Struthio camelus: one gene and its partner. The protein of the gene in region 1 interacts with the protein of each later gene in a pairwise test. Links are inferred from orthologs where the notes say so. Each region holds a gene or a part of one and is shown in the gene's direction. Other genes may lie near its edges.

Region 1 (7,847 bases):
AAAGACCTACTTAATTCCTTGCCCTTACAGGCATAAGCAGTGCAGGCAGAAAGCATCTTTATGCTAACTGCATATATGCAGATAACTGCATCTGCACTGCAGGTGTCGTACGGCTTTAGCAGGATTGGTATACTTGAAATGACGCAACTTTGGTACATGATGATACCCCACAGAAGCACAGGCCTATTGGTAATTAGCAGCAATGAAAATAGCACTTCAGCAAGGCTTGAAGCAGGTAGGAAAATAACAAGGCATGGCTACACAGGGAAGTTTTGCTAGGAGCTCTTTGGTGGTTCCTGGCTGTCTCCATTGCTACGTCGCTGGAGCGCCGAGGTGCTCAATGGTGTTTGCTGAAGCCCAATGTCCTCACTGCAAGAGGTGGCCCTGGCAAAAGACCAGGTGCATTGTGGGTGTCGACTTGCTGACTGACCGCTGCCAGCACTGTTGCGTCAGAGTAACATATCAATATTGGCCTCCTGCCACAGCTTGAGGACTGGCATCCTTCATACAGACAGTTTAAGTCAGATGACAAAAACTTCAAATTTTGTTGACTTACGTTATGTATTTTTGGCTGTGTGCTAACCTGTGACAAGAAAAGGCAACTTCTGTTAATAAAACTTAGTTCTGAAGAGCCAGCTATAGATAAGCAAGGAGAAATATTTACCCATGCTTCTCACTAAGGAAAGCTGTATCACACTTCCTGTGAAACTTGGACCAAAGTGCAGGCAGAAACTTTACCTCAGCTGCTCTTCGCTACCTGTGGGAGTATTGCTGTCAGGAGGAAGAGCTTTGGCTCCAAGATCTTGGCTGGCAGGATAGAAGCAGCAGAAATGAGCAGGGCTGGGCAAACTATTAAATCTCCACTGACCCGTTTAGCAGAGAGATAAAATCCCCTGGGAAGGAGAGGGGGCAAAGCTGCAGGAGGCTGAGCGGGCAAGAGGAGCTGGTGAGGTCAACAGGGTGAGACGTCGTATGCAGACAATGGAAACAGCAAGAAACCCTTCTCTGTTGTGGCGGTGAAGGGAAGAGATTCACTCTGAACTGTCTCCTAATGATTCCTATGCCATTGGGTCAAATACTAATAGCTGAGTTTGTGCCTCATTTCCTGCCGGTTCCTTAGAGCTTACGTGAGTCATTGCCTCTGCTCCACCAGAGCACCATAGTGAGATTCAACTCCCTGTACTTCTACAGAGCTTTCAAACTCAGTGTTGTCCTGATGCCACCTGATCTTCAGGCCAATGGGAGCACCAAAACATATTCCTTCAAGTCCCTTCAGAGGGCGCCTTTCTAGGAAAAAGAAAAAGAAAAAAAACTTTAGTCTAAAATGATGTGTATTTGTTCAGAAAGATATATTCTTCACACCAATTTCTGAGCGTTCCTCTGTAAGGATAATGTTTAATATAGCTGCCTCTTTTTGGTTTGTCAAAGATTAAGCGTTGGTGAGTGCTCCACAAACTTGTGCATAAAATAATGGCATGTAGGAGTCAGGCAAGAGTGCTGCGCAGCAATGAAAGGGTTAACAGAAGAATCAGATGTCTGTTTAGTATGTCTCAGATGTCACATACAAATACCTAAAAGGCAGCTGGGTTGTGTGAAAGGAAATCAATGGATTACCAGCATAGTCCCAGCTCAAAAGCTTTTTTGTGACTTCAGGAATGCCTTATACCCCTTCCGTTAAATGGAGACAGTATCTATCCCACAAGCATATTGTGAAGACTAAATCATTAATCTTTTTTAAGTGCAAATGGAAAAAGCTAGAGAAATAATAATACCAAATATCATTTCAATAATGACAGAAAGCAGATGACTGCACTCAGTATACCAGTCATAACTGCAGGTCACTGCAGTGGTTAGGGCACAGTACCTTCCTTGCCTTAGCTTTTTTCATTGCTGAGGGTGCTCTGTGCTATGCAGTTGTCCTGGACTCCTTCGCTTGCAGGCTGCCAACCACAGCCAGCTGAAGATGCCTGACCAGGGGCCCTGCCTACACACTGTGGGCTCCCCTGGGCGCTCTTCTGCAGAGCAGGCCATGTGAGCATGGGGTGTGAGGGGAAACCGGCAGCAACTTTGACATGTGTATGGCAGGAGCTGGTGGAAACGGGACTAGGGGAAGATAAAGAGAAAAATGGAGCCTGGGCACCACTGAACAACTCCTTCTTTTGATATTCCTCAAGGGGAATATCAGGCAGACACATATATGGCAGAGGGTTTACTGCTAACTTTTCTTCAGGCTGGCTCCCTTAAAAATGAAGCATTCTGCAGTGTCTGATAGGCAAGATCTTAATCTGTAATAGTCATCTAGAATGTCCCAGTAAAATACTAGTTATGGAAGGTGCATGCAGATGAAGAGAAATACAGAAATGCTTCTCATCGAATGAGTAGCACCCTAATCATGAGAATCTCTCTTCTTTTCAAGTCAAGGGTGGAGTGAACATGTTCATTCAATGTTGTTTGACAGTCTGGCTCATTTTATCAAACCCAGTCAAGATGAATGAGACATGTGTTTACCCTTGGTGGGCGAGCAGACAAAAACTACATGTAATTGTCCTCCGGGTGCCTGCCACTCCATGGGGATTTGTAATCATTTTGGAAAAAAAGAGATTTCCCTGTCACCGGAAGAGACAAGCTGGCACCTTGTTGCAAAAACGTACCACTTAAAATAGTTTTTAACGTGGCCTTGAAAACTATTTTTGGATCAGAAAGAATGTGGTGTATGGGCAGACTGGAGTCAAGTATTGTAACTGTCATTCAAAATCAAAGGCTCGATCATTTCATGAAGATCAGCAGATGAGTAAAGATACACCAAGATAATCCAATTGTTCCATAGGCTTCAACACATACAGTGATATCTGAAAAGTCAAGAAGGGTTTCTTGTCATGTGTGTTGACATACGCTGACCACCTCCATTCCTGGTTTTCTCCTTTTCAAGTGTTGACCATCAGAGGAAGAATACCCATTCCCATGCCATAATAAAACCAACTGCATGTTTGTATTAGGATCTGCAGATTAGTTCTCCATCAAGTTACCAAAGCTTCCAAACTAGTTTCAGGATAGCAAAAGCTGCTTGTGTTCTCCTTTCTCTAGAACAGACATTGTCCTTGGTGCTACCAGACAGCAGCTGTGCAGTAAAATCAACTTCACATTCATGCTAAGGATTCAAAATTTGGTTCTTAAAATCAAAAACACGGAGGAGTATAAAAGAGCTGATGAACTTTGGCTTCAAGTTTAAATACTGATGTCTACATCTGGTTGCAAGTCATTTGCAGGAAAACAAGTTAGGAGTTATGTAGAAAAACGCAGGAGAATCCCACCGAGGCTATTATAAAAACAGATCAGCCACTTTCTGCAGAAATCAGAGACCAGCACTGTGAGACGTGCCCTAGAGTGAGCTTCCCAGAACCGTACAGAGGAAGCCCGGAAACATTCAGGAGAAAAGACGCATGCCCTGAGCGACAGGACGCTACCCTGAGCTGGAGCACCGTCAGGTACCAAGTTGGGCAGAGCATCCTTACAGAAGCCTGACACCCCTAAAGCAGGGGATTGGGTCACTAATTCTCACCTGCAGATTTGCCTTAGCTCAGTACTACTCCTACAGGCAAATCTGTGCTTGTAACCGTGGAAACCTCTCCCCGAAAAACAGCCCTGAAACATGGATGAGCCTTTGGTAGGGGCTTTGAGGATACGTCTCTGCCACGAGGGGCTGGGGATCTGCATCCTTGCCCCCAGCGCAACTGCTCCAGCAGGCGGGCAGCCCTGCTGTACAGGATCCTGCATCTCCTGCAGTCTGCTCCAAGATTTATCAGCCAAAATATAACATCTCTAGCCCAGCCTCGTTACAAAAGGCTTCGAGCAGGCGAAGATGAAACCACTTTTATGTGCAGCACACCTTAAACCCTGTGATGATTCCCCACACAGATACTTGTACAGCGGGACAAAAAAACCTGCTTTCAGCTCAGCATATGCTTCACGGCCAGGGGACGAGACAGACCAGAATCTATTGGTGTAAGAGCACCATCCCCGCGGTGTTACACAGCCTCGTCTCTGCTGAAACCCCAAACGTGCCCGTCCTACAGAGGAGCAGGTGGCGAGGGGCAGAGAAGGAGCCAACGGGGGACGCTGTGGGGTGTCAGCGACCGCCCGGAAACCTCCCCGCAGTGGGGCAGAGGGACGCAGCAGCCAAGGCCCGCCCCGCGGACAGGCGCAAGGCAGGCGGGGAGCGGGGCACCGAGGGCAGGCGGCGGGCCAGGCCCCAGCTCGGCCTGAGGGGCCGCGGGCAGGCCTCGCAGGCGGCCGGCGGGCCTCGGAGGCGGCGACCCCGCAGGGCGGGCACCGCCTGGGGCCAACGCGGCGCCCCGGCTGCTCGCGCAAGGACCGGGGGCTTCGCGGCGGCGGAGGGGGACGGGGAGGGAGGCCCGCGCCGGGCGGCCATTTCCCCGCCGCCCCGTGCGGCGCGATAGCGGCGGCGGCGGCGGCGGCGGCGGCGGCGGCCGGGCGCCCTGCGGCCCGCGCTGGCCCCGCCCCACCCCGAGGCCCCGCCCCCGCCCGTCGCCGAAGGTTGCCGAGCGAGGGTCGCGCTGCTTCGGCGCCTCGGCCGCCGTTTCCGGAGATTGCCGAGGGGCTTCGGCCCCTCCCCGGCCGCCGCCGAGCCCGTGACCGAGCCGCTCCGGTGGGTCCGAGCCCGCCGCGCCCGGAGCTGTGGTAGCGGGGCCGGCGCTCGCCCGCCTCCTCCTCCTCCTCCGCCTCCTCCGCCGCCGTCGCCGCTGGCGGGGCCGGGCGTCGTGGTGACAGAGCGGGGCGATCGCGGCGGGGCGGCGGGGGGGCGGCCGGGGCTCCGGCGGCGCGGATGGCGGAGGGCGGCCAGCCCCCGCAGCAGCAGCAGCAGCAGCAACAGCAGCAGCAGCAGCAGCCGCAGCTCCTGGCCGGCGGCGGCGGCGGGGCCGCCCGCGGCGTGAAGCGGGAGCCGGAGCTGGAGCAGCCCATGCCCGGCGGGGACGGCGCCGAGGGCGGCCACAGCAAGAGGCTGCGGACGGAGGGGGAGGCCGACGGTGGCGGCATGCAGGTAGCGGGCCGGGCCGGTAGCGGGAGGGAAAGCGGGCTGCCCGGGGCGGCCCTGGCGCGGACACAGCGACACGCACACGCACACACACCGACACGCACACACACACGCGGTGGGTTTGTCGGCGCTGGGAAATACAATGGCGGGGGGGCGCCCCCGGGCGGGGGGGGAGGGGGACATCCCTGCCCCTCGCTCCGGCTCTCCGCCCCTGCTGGCGGCTAGGAACGATGGGCAGGATTTGGACTGGCTTGTTTCTTAATTATATGTATTATTTTATCTTAATTTTATCTTAATTTTATCTTAATTTTATCTTAATTTTATCTTAATTTTATCTTAATTTTATCTTAATTTTATCATTTCTTGCAGTTTGTCCGTTGCCCTAAAAAGAACGCTCTGCGCAAGCTACGCCTGTGCTTTCTTCCTAGGGAAGCCCCTTCCTGATTCTTGAGAACTATAATAGCGCCTAAAGAGACAAAATAAATCCTGTAGAACCGCTGCTATCTCTTGCCGCTCTTCTCCTTTAAAGGAATTGCTCTCCTTTAGCATATTTCTGTCTGCCACATCTCATAAGTGTCTTAATCTGAGTGACCAGACACTCCTCTGTGCCTCTGTTGTCCCAGACCAGGGATGAGTTATTTGTTATGGATTTAATTTGCTACCTCCTTACCCGTAATTTTTCCAGTTGAGTGAGAAAGCGTGCATGTTGGCTAGCTGATGCTCGTTGGAAGTATAGTACAAAGCATGTTGCGGTGGGATATTTAGCGTATGGAGTAGAGGTGTCGAATAACACAAGGGATAACGTGAATTAACGAGGAGGATCAGGTCTCTTATCAGATGCCTTCTCTGGCATAGACAGAGATCTACGTGAGTTTTACGAATTCAGCTGAGCATGTGTTATTGCAATGTACGGTTTTCATTTCTGAGGGGATGGTCCTGTTTGATGCTAGATAGGCCTTCAGTGCTCCTGTCATTGCATTTCCCTCCGTGGCTCTAGATTCTGCAAAAGTACTGATGGCTCTGCCTTGAGAGGCTGTGGAAAGGAGTGGCGAAAGAAAACATTCAACGCGCGGTACATGCGTAACATGGAGCATGTTAAAGACCAATGATGCTTTATCCATTCTCTTTTGATTCTTTGTCTGTAAATGATAAGGAATAATTTCAGGTGCTTCTTGGGAACAGAGAAAGGGGTCTTAGGACATCATGTGAGAGAGTCTTCCAGTTTGGGAAAGAGAATGATGACTTTGGATAAGAGATTAAGTTCCTGTCTTCTGTTCCTTACACATTTTGATCATCACTGAAGGATTGGTCTTTACTTTTCCAGATGCATTTGCTTTTGCATTTGGGTGGGGGGGGTATAGGGAGTTAAAGATATTTCTATTTTCTGTTGTCTGTATGTTATGTGTGATTTAATTATGGCAGTTCAGTTGGTGCTTTTTTGCTTCTGTTTCTTGCAACAGATATGTTAGAGTTCTTTGAAGATGGTGTGATTTATTCAACTAAAGTTATTTCTGTTCTCACTTTTGCTTGGGCTGGTCTATCCTGTTCACCGGAGAGAATTCTGTCCTCTGTAATGTGTTTCTCTTCTGATCTAGATGCTAATTGCTGACCAACTATTTTCCCTTTTTATTTTCTAGGCTGTCCCCACATTGCACACTCAAGACTCTTTTTTTTTAAACGCCTTACAGCAGGAGGGTTTTGTTTGTACTTCTGTTTGATGTTTAGCCTTTCATGGTGGTCTCTACACCGCACAGAACTGCTTTTTCAGCCAGTCTGATGTTGAGAGCTAAACATAGGTTGGAGCTTCACACCTGAATGCTGTGTCTCATGCTCCCATACGGCCCAGTGAGAAGCACGCTATGCTCTTTTACTCCTTGAAATAGTATCTTCTCCCACACATAGGTGTAAAGTATGACTCAGACAATGTGCATAATTACAAGGCAAAGATGCTCAATATTGAAGAAATGCTTGTGCGTTGTGTATAGTTAGAGAATTATGAATGAATGTATCAACCCAGTGAAAGGGAATTTTTCTAGGTCTTAGGAGTTGGTCGGAGGCATAGGTCCTGGGTAGCTATGTGAGATGTGTCAGTTCAACTACAATTAGTGGTTAAATATTGATGTAAGCCAGTGGCAAATCATTTGAAAATTGCCCGCAAAGGGACTTGAACTGGTTTAACTAACCGTCTTAAAATTTGATATTTGTGTAAACTAGTACAATTTGTAAGTACAGAAAAGGCTCCCCTTTAGATTTAAATGAGGAAAGCATTTTGCTATCTGTTCAATGAATAGTACAAAATAGTGAGGTTAGAGCATTTACCCATGGGACTATCACCGTGTACGCACAACAATGCATAATGCTGTTACTAGTAGTAAAGATTAATTATGGATCTGAGCAGAGAGTTGAATTGTTTGTGGTTTTCCATATTGTAAGCCGGCAAACAGTTATGGTTCTAGCAGTACTGAGGGAAAAATAGTTGGAGAAATGCATTTAGTAGAATTCATTTTTAAAATTAAGTTTATTCCATATGCCTATTCTTCAGAGTAGGAGCTCCATATCCTAGTTGTTTAGTATTCTTAGTATGATATAAATCTTTTCTCTAAGTTTTGCTATAAATTTTTTTTTTTCTTGCCAGATGTTTCACTCTAACATTTTTTAGGCTTAAAGAGAGTGATGTGTTTGTTTGGAGACTCTTTTCATAGTTGTAAGTGCAAAATACTAAATATGATGCCAATCTTACAAATAATTTCTTAGCTAGGAAGATGTGTTTTTTAATAATTTAAAAAGTCTATAT
Region 2 (7,926 bases), on another chromosome or scaffold:
CCTGCACAGCATCTCTGTGGCAAACGCATCAATTTACAAAGGGGAAGGAAGCAGCTTCTCTTAGGAGGCGCTTAGCAATCCCAGGGACCAATTCCAGGTGGCTTTAAGCAAACACGACAGCGTGGAAACCACTGCCTTTGGGAAACAACAGCGCACACACTTACATGCATACTTGTGTTGAGGGTGCCACAGGTCACACTAGTCCCCTCCTCCCAATAACAAGTGATCAGGAGAAAACAGAGTTTTATTGTGGCAGCACACAGCACCACAGCCACCCTCCTGGAGCTCCTTCCCATACAAGATTGTCTCTTGACAGCACACAGGAAAGGGACATGGGACTGAACAGGAGCTATGTGATATTCTTCTTCCCTAAGGCAGCAACTCTTACTCACCAACACTTCCACTACAGTAGGAACCAGGGAGGCCAGGAGCCCAGGTGGGGCATGGAGGACTTCAGAGCAAAAGCGGACAGCCCTGCGCAGGATCCGACGCAGCACCAGTCTGAAAGCAGGGCACGATTTCCTAGATAGCCCTGTGAGCATCCCTGCCCTGCCCCCACATCCAGCACACCCCACACGCAACTCCTCTCTGGCCTGATCTATCCATATAGGCCAGCTGCACCCCACTCTTCACATCTATCTGGGGATGACCCTGCTGATCTTAAATGCCTCCAGGCCCTCTCCTTCGTGTTTCTACACAGCTCACCCACTCCCTGTCTTTGACCCCTTCCACAACCTCTCCCCTAGGGCTGCTCATATTCCCTTTCCTTTCCGGAAACTCCATCCACCCTGTGCCATTTCTGCATGTCCTTACTCTGCTCCAGACAGGCCTGGGTAGATGCCGTCAGTGATGCACACGCACAAGGTACGCACATGATCTGCCACCACGCGGTAGGCCATATTCACACCCCCAACGTCAGCCTTCCCGACCAGACCTTGGTATCTGGGCCCCCCACAGCCCTAGAAGAGAAAGTAAGGAGACAGATTAGCAGCTGTGAATAGCTGTAGAAAAAAAAAGTTGCAAGGTAAGACAGCCAGCTACACACTTGACTTCATGCTTGTCAACTGCCTCTGCAGCCTACGATGCAAGATGTACTCATAAAACCTTCTGAGAAAATTATAGGCTTGTGTGCCTAAGAGATGTCAACCAATGCCCTGGCCCTGAGGTATTTAACAGACCCTTGGAGAAACACGGATCAGTAGAGCTGTTATCCCAGTGGATTCCCAATCTGGAATTTTCCCCAGCTTCTCTAGAATGCTGCTGTGGGCCTAGCTACACATACCTCCTGTCTTAAAATACTGCATAGTAATGTGTGTGGAGAAGGCTGTGTTATGGTACCAGTCAAGCAGTCTGCATTCATGGGGCTTTGGCTTAGCTGCGGCTCTGAACAGGAGCATCATCACCTTGTGAATGGCATCCAGGATGGGAGTGAAGAGATCTGTGTCATAGTTGGAGCGCTTGTTCTGCAGAACTGTCACCAGCCTTTCCAAACCCATTCCTGTATCCACATGGTGCTGGGGCAAGGGAAGTAAATTCCCCTCCACCTCTCTGTGAGCATGCCAGAAAAAAAAAAAAAAAGGCAAAAGAGAAGCAGGGGTCAGTCCAGGGCCAAGGAACAGGAGTGGACGAGTCATAGGGGATGGGAGAGTGACAGCAGGTGGAAATAGCACTGGGGCAGGTGACTCAAAAGAAGAAATCTCAGGGAGAGGACTAACAGCAGCCGGAGGTGGCACTGCTGGGCAGCCATGCTCTGACCATTGGATAGTCAGAACATGGTGTAGGGAAAAAGGCCTGCCCTGAACAGGGGCCTAAGCCCTTCTCCTCCTCCTAGCAGTTATTTTCTGTGCTGCTGCAGACCTAAAGGAACATCTGGGATGAAGCAGTGAGGGAAAAGAGGCAGCACAGGCTGAGGAAGGACAGGAGAAGCATGGCAAAGGGGGCCTATGGGCCACAATGAAAACACATTTCCACTGCTTCCCCTTGATCCTGTACCGCCACCTCCTGGAAAGCAGTGAGAAGTCTGAAAAATTGACTAGGGTTTGGATGTCAGAGGAGAGGGAAAGGCTCCGAGATCTGGACTGGATGCCTAGTACCTGCTATACTGCATAAAGACCAGGTTCCAGATCTCCACTACATCAGGGCTGCCCTGGTTCACCAGTGCTGCAGCGTTTCGGCCACCACCCACGTGGTCATAGTGGATCTCTGTGCAGGGACCACAGGGACCTGTGTCCCCCATCTCCCAGAAGTTGTCCTTCAATGGGAAAGGAAGCACATGGCTGGCAGGCACCCTGGAAAGGCAAACAACAGGGATGGCAGGACTGGGGCACACACACAAAATACAGATTAGCCTAGATCACAGAGAAAGTTGGAGGCAGGATCCCTTCTGACTACTACAAACTCAGAATGTGAACACATTAAGGTTCATTTGCTTCTGTTCACACGGAATTAACCTCCTTAGCAGGGGTAAGCTGGACCAAAGCAGACAGATCCTACTCACTACTCAGCATGGCTAGCAAGCTCAGTCTGGCCCCTGCTGATCGATGGCCAGCTCTCTGTTGGGTCTTCTGTTGGGTCTTTTCTCCCTGGAGGTTAGCTGAGCTAAGATCTGATCAGGACAAACAAAGCTGGACACCAAACATGGCACAGAGTTATCAGCCTTCAGCCCAAAGTCTGCATACAGCCTGGAACAAGCTCCCAAAGTACATCAGGGCTTCATCCTCAGGTTGAGGGGGCCATTGCTAGCTTTTTGAGGACAATGCGATCTCCGCAGCTCGTGACGGAGAGGAAGCAAAGGATCACACAAAGAAAAGAAGGATAGTGGGAGTAGCATTACCGCACATGGAACAGAAATCACCACGTCACTTCATCCCGGTCAGACAACCTTCGGTTCACAGCCCTTCTAGACTGACTGCATCTGAACAACAGCTTAAAGATGAAGTCCCCCAGAGTGCTCCGAGTTTTGGGACTTTTAGCAGTCCCAAAAAAGCAGAAACCAAATGATTTCAAAGCCCAGTTTTTGGCTCCTACATCTGAATCCCATGAATTAAAGAGCAAATGAGAGACTATGGAGACTGAAACGTCAGTACTTGCTGCTCTGAACTTCTTCTCCAACACAACTTACCCCAGGCAGAGCCATATGTCCCTACACTCCTCGTCTGCGCTCAGCCCCAGCGAAGAGTCTCCACCAAAATAGGTGACGTACAGACGATCTTTGGGAATCTTGTAGACTTCTGTCAAGAGCTCCCAGGCCATACTACATGCCTCCTCCTGAGCAGGCAGGGAACACCGAGGAAGTACAGTAATCCAGGGCATGAAGGGAGACAAGAAGGTTCTTTAGAATGGGAGTCAAACACCAAAGAGGCTAATTTCAGTTGTTCTGTCCCTCTGCAGTCTTAAGACATATGTCAGTGAGTATGATGGGGGTCAGGCCAATTATAGACAGTTCTTCAAATAGCTGTGGGAAACTGTGGCCTTCCTAAATCCTTGGGAGACCTTCAGGATCACAGCATGGTCTACACTGACCTGCTTACCCGCACAGTCACATGGATTATTTTCTTTCCTAGGAAGAAATGCATATACTAGAAAAACAATTAGCATTCTTTATCCTTCTCCCTTTTCGAACTTTCCAGTAACAAGCACAAAATGAAACAGGAACCTTTTTTCACCCATATTACATGGTCAACACTGGCACTCACACAGGGCGCTTTGGTTTGTATATGCGGTTGGCAGCTTTGCAAAGGCTGGGCACTTTCAGAGAAATGAGTTCTCTGCCGGGCACATTTAGTGATTCAGCACGCTGACTACCTCTGCTGCAAGCCACAGAGCTTCCAGCAAGGAATTCAGAGCTCGCCAAAGCCTCGTGCAAATACCTTTATGGTGCTACAAGACAGATCTGATGCTATAAAAGAAAAGCTGTATCTCCCCCTGGAGAGGGCTGACTCTCATTGCCTCACCTTAAAGTAATCTCCAAAGGACCAGTTCCCCAGCATCTCAAAGAAGGTGTGATGGTAAGTATCTCGGCCCACATCCTCCAAGTCATTGTGCTTCCCTCCAGCGCGCACGCACTTCTGGCTGTTCACCACCCGCTTGTACTGTGCTAGCTCGCTCCGGGGATGCACCGTGCCCAGGAAAATGGGCTTAAACTAGAAATCAAGGCAGAGAGACATCTCCTGTTGCTAGACACCGTCCAGCATAGCAGGCTTATGACTGTAGCTCCAGAAATACAGATAGGGAGCTACAAGCAGAAGATATGCACATGGAGATGGGAGAGTCGTGAGGTGACAAGGAGGTACAGGAGCCGATCAGGCCACAGGCTTTCCTGTGAAAAAGGCTTTCCTGCTACAGATAAACCGCCTTCCTCTGAGGAAGAGGAGTTCCCGGGAAGCCCGCCCACGGCGGCCTGCAGGCAGGGGCCCCAGGCAGAGCACAGCCGAAGCCCTCGGCTCCCGGTCGGCCGCAGGCCCCGGGCCGAGCCCCGACAGTGCGGAGAGCCGGGGGAGGGGGCGGCGGGGCGCATCGCCCCTCGCAACCGGTCCGCGGGGCGGGGGGAGCACCTGGTTCATGCCCGCGTTGACGAAGAGGAGGCGCGGGTCCCCCCGAGGCCGCACGGGGGCCGAGGGCAGGCGGCGGTGGCCGTGGCGCTCCTGGAAGAAGCGGAGGAAGGCGGCGCGGACCTGCCCCGCCGCCGGCCCGCCGGTGCCCCAGCGGCGGGGGCCGCAGCCCCAGCGCCACGGCACGGCCGGCAGCAGGCGGCGCCGCAGCCGCCCGGCCGCCGCCATCTTGGCCGAGGGCGGAAGGCGGGCGAGGGCGCCTTCGGGAAGGGCAGCGAGAAGAGCGGGAGGAGCCAGGAGAGGGCGCGTGGCAGGGGCCGATGGGATCGAGGAGGGCCGCGGCTGGGCCCGGCAGCGCAGGGCGGGGCGGGGGTGGCTTCCCGCCTCCGTTCAGGGTGTGTGCACTGGGAGCGGCCGGGACGGCCGCCAGCCCGCCGCCCGGGCCTCCAAATCCCCCGACTGTGGCGGGCGGGCGGACCTCGGCCGGCCGGCCTGCCCGTCAGCACCCCGCTCCTAAGCCCGTGGGGCGCCCTGCGAGAAGATGCGCACCACAATGGCGCCGCTCCTCCCGCCCCGCAAATCCCCCAGGCAACGCCGCCCGTACGCCGCCGCCCCCCACCGGGCGCATGCGCAGCCCCCCCAACCCCCTCCGCGCTCCAGGCTCGATTAGCCGGGCTGCGGGGCGGTGCGCCGCCGCTATGGCTCTGCGGCGGCTCTGCCCTCGCGAGAGCGCCGCGGCCGGGAGCGGGTAGGCGGTGCCGCCGCCGCCGCCGCCGCCGCCTCAGCAGCGATTGCTTCTGCCTGTCGCAGCGGCGGGAGGGCGGGCGCCATGGCGGCGCGCGGGGCCTCGGGCTTGGCCTGGTGCCTCCGCCGGGTGGGGGCGAGCGGCGACTGGCTCCTGCTGGAGGCCGGCACCGAGGTGAGTTGGGGGGCCGGGCCGCCGCTGGGCCCCGCCGCGGGGCCCCCCCCGGGTGAAAGCCGCGGGGGCGGCCCGGCGCCCGAGGCACGGCCCTCGCCAGCCGGGGTGAGGCGGGGGGAGCGGCCCGCCTCTCGCTGAGCCCCGGCTGGGGGGCGGGCGGGTGACTGTGGGAGTGTGCTGTTTTGAGAGCCTGTTTACTCGCTAATGCGCTTTCCAGAAAAAAAAAAAAAAAAGCTATCTAGGCTAATGAGCGGCAGTTGTTAATTATTATTCAGAAGAGCCGGTCATTAATCCCAGTTTATAAATTATTTCCCCTAAAGCAGTCTTGGTGAAGCGTTGCTCGGTATTTCTGCGCTTTCTTAAAGACCGATCTCCCCCCGATTACAACCAGTTTATTTCAACGCCAGTAACTTGCAAGGGAGCAGAAAGCGGGGTGCTGCTTTTGAGATCAGAGGTTTAAACTTAATGTGCTATGTCTTCAGACGTTAACTTTTTTAACGTGATGTCATGTTTAAGCAGAAGTTGTTTGTGTGATAATGGTAACGTAAGAAAAAAAAAATCCTTAGCCTAATTAATACCGTGATGCTCTGGCGAGGTTAGCAATATGTGACATATTTAGTTTTAGTGGCTAAAGTTATTCAAGTGTAAACACAGCCAGTATTTTCAGCCATTTCAGTTATGTTTCAGAATGGCATAGGTATAAGCTTTTCTTCTGTTATCATTTTTTTTTAGTTAAAAAGCCAAAACAGATCTTTTTACTCTTGAAGTGAGATGACAAATTACCGTATTGAAGATACGGTGCTACAAGAGGATTGCAGTTTTTATGGTCAAAAGCAGGCAGTTAAATGTTGTGGGTTCACACTGTAGTTAATTCCTTTGTGCTTATGCCTTGCACAAGGTACCCTTGCTAATTCATCTTTAAACGCTAGGCAGATCTTTAGGCAGATGTACGATGTGTTACTTTCACTCATGGATTTGAAGCCAGCAGGGGTGTAAGTGTGCTCAGCTAAGGAACTGAGTAGTGGAGTTGCAAAACTTGCAATAAGGGCTCTGGTAATTGGATGGAGAATCTTGTTTACGTGTTTTTACCCTAGTTATTGGCATACTGTTACCCTCCCTCTCACAAGCAACGGAGTAAATGTGTGGCTGGTGCTTAAGGCTTACCAGCTTACAGTCTGGCACGTTGGCTCCAAGTGCTGTCACTGGGGCTTTAAATGGTGGTGTCAAACTGTATTGCTGATAGGTATGGGGGTGCGTTATGTTGTGGCAGTGATGAACTCTAGCAGGCAAGCGGTAACGTCTGAAACCCCACGGCTGTTGCTCTTTGCTCAACGAACGTTAGCGAGGGGAAGTTTTATGATTGGCTCTACGCAGTCTTGGTTGTATTGGCACTCTAGGCCACAAGACGTGCATGACCGAGAACTAATAATAGTTGATGTGGCTTAGGCATTTCTGCACAGACAAAAGCAAAGTTGTGTGTATAACTGAATCCACCTGAAGTTCTTGCTGATATGGAGGGAGCTGTATGGGGCAGACAGGAAGGTGGTGGTAGAGAATCATCTTCATTTTGAGAATCATCTTCATCTTGCAGAAGCAACCCATGTTGACAGAACATTAAGAGATGTGAAGCATTTAAGAGGTAGGGAATTCTGTGGTTCAGTTTGCTTTCCTGATCTTAGTTAGCTTCCTTGCATTTAGTTACGATGTGGGAGTTTGAGCCCTTGCTTTCAACTTGAAGGATGGGACTGTTTCACGTAACATGTAGTAAATTAATTTTCCTTGGCTGCAGGATCTTGCCCTCTTCTTGTAGGAATTGGAAGGTGTGATGCAAAAGAGTTGGAATTGCAGGGGGAAAAAGGGGGCAGTTTTCATCTAAGACATACAGACTAGGTTGTATTTTTATAATATGCCTAGTCTGATTTTACTGTGGGCTTCTGCTAAATGGTGTATTGTCCTGCTCTTTCTGGCTGCACGTTCTTGTATCTATTGCATTGGATTCATGCAGTTGTCTAATTACATGGTAAACTGGCTGAAAACTTGTCCTTTCTAAAAGAAATTACTTCCCTGCAACACACAAATGAATAAGAAATGTCTGCGACTATCAGATCACGTGAGGAGGCAGTGGAGAGAGGGAGAGCAAAGCCATGCTTTAAATGGCAGCCTGCAATTAGATCATATTTTTTGATAAAGTATTGTGAAGTAGTACCATTACAAATTCTGTCCATTCTTCTTCCGGAAGGTACTGTGAGATTCTAATCAGATTATTGAGATCACCTTCACTAGTGGTTATGAATGGCATGTAGCTTAGTTTCTGAGCCCTAATGTTGATGGTGTGATTTACAGAAGTATTGCATGCTTAGGGCATGGTTACATTCACGCTTTTGGGTAGCAGTTTTCTAGGCTGTACTGTTTACAACAGTTGAACAGATGCAGCTAGTCAAAGAAAAGAGTAAGAAG

The links. The genes of interacting proteins can lie anywhere in the genome.
Region 2: the proteins of RBFOX2 (region 1) and RNF8 interact in binary tests that used the Homo sapiens proteins (3 or more experiments, as listed by UniProt). The two-hybrid records come from large-scale screens. The link is inferred for Struthio camelus from reciprocal best matches to the Homo sapiens genes RBFOX2 and RNF8.

Annotation. Positions count from the first base shown.
Region 1 is NC_090942.1:59,494,597-59,502,443, forward strand, and holds the start of RBFOX2 (RNA binding protein fox-1 homolog 2), read left to right. Parts: upstream 1-4,828; 5' UTR 4,829-4,843; coding exon 4,844-5,059; intron 5,060-7,847. UniProt on the Homo sapiens protein: RNA-binding protein that regulates alternative splicing events by binding to 5'-UGCAUGU-3' elements. Prevents binding of U2AF2 to the 3'-splice site.
Region 2 is NC_090944.1:104,607,123-104,615,048, forward strand, and holds the start of RNF8 (E3 ubiquitin-protein ligase RNF8), read left to right. Parts: upstream 1-4,865; 5' UTR 4,866-5,379; coding exon 5,380-5,469; intron 5,470-7,926. Other genes in the region: AARS2 (alanine--tRNA ligase, mitochondrial), read right to left, coding at 393-501, 814-959, 1,404-1,548, 2,094-2,288, 3,122-3,267, 3,954-4,142, 4,554-4,778. UniProt on the Homo sapiens protein: E3 ubiquitin-protein ligase that plays a key role in DNA damage signaling via 2 distinct roles: by mediating the 'Lys-63'-linked ubiquitination of histones H2A and H2AX and promoting the recruitment of DNA repair proteins at double-strand breaks (DSBs) sites, and by catalyzing 'Lys-48'-linked ubiquitination to remove target proteins from DNA damage sites.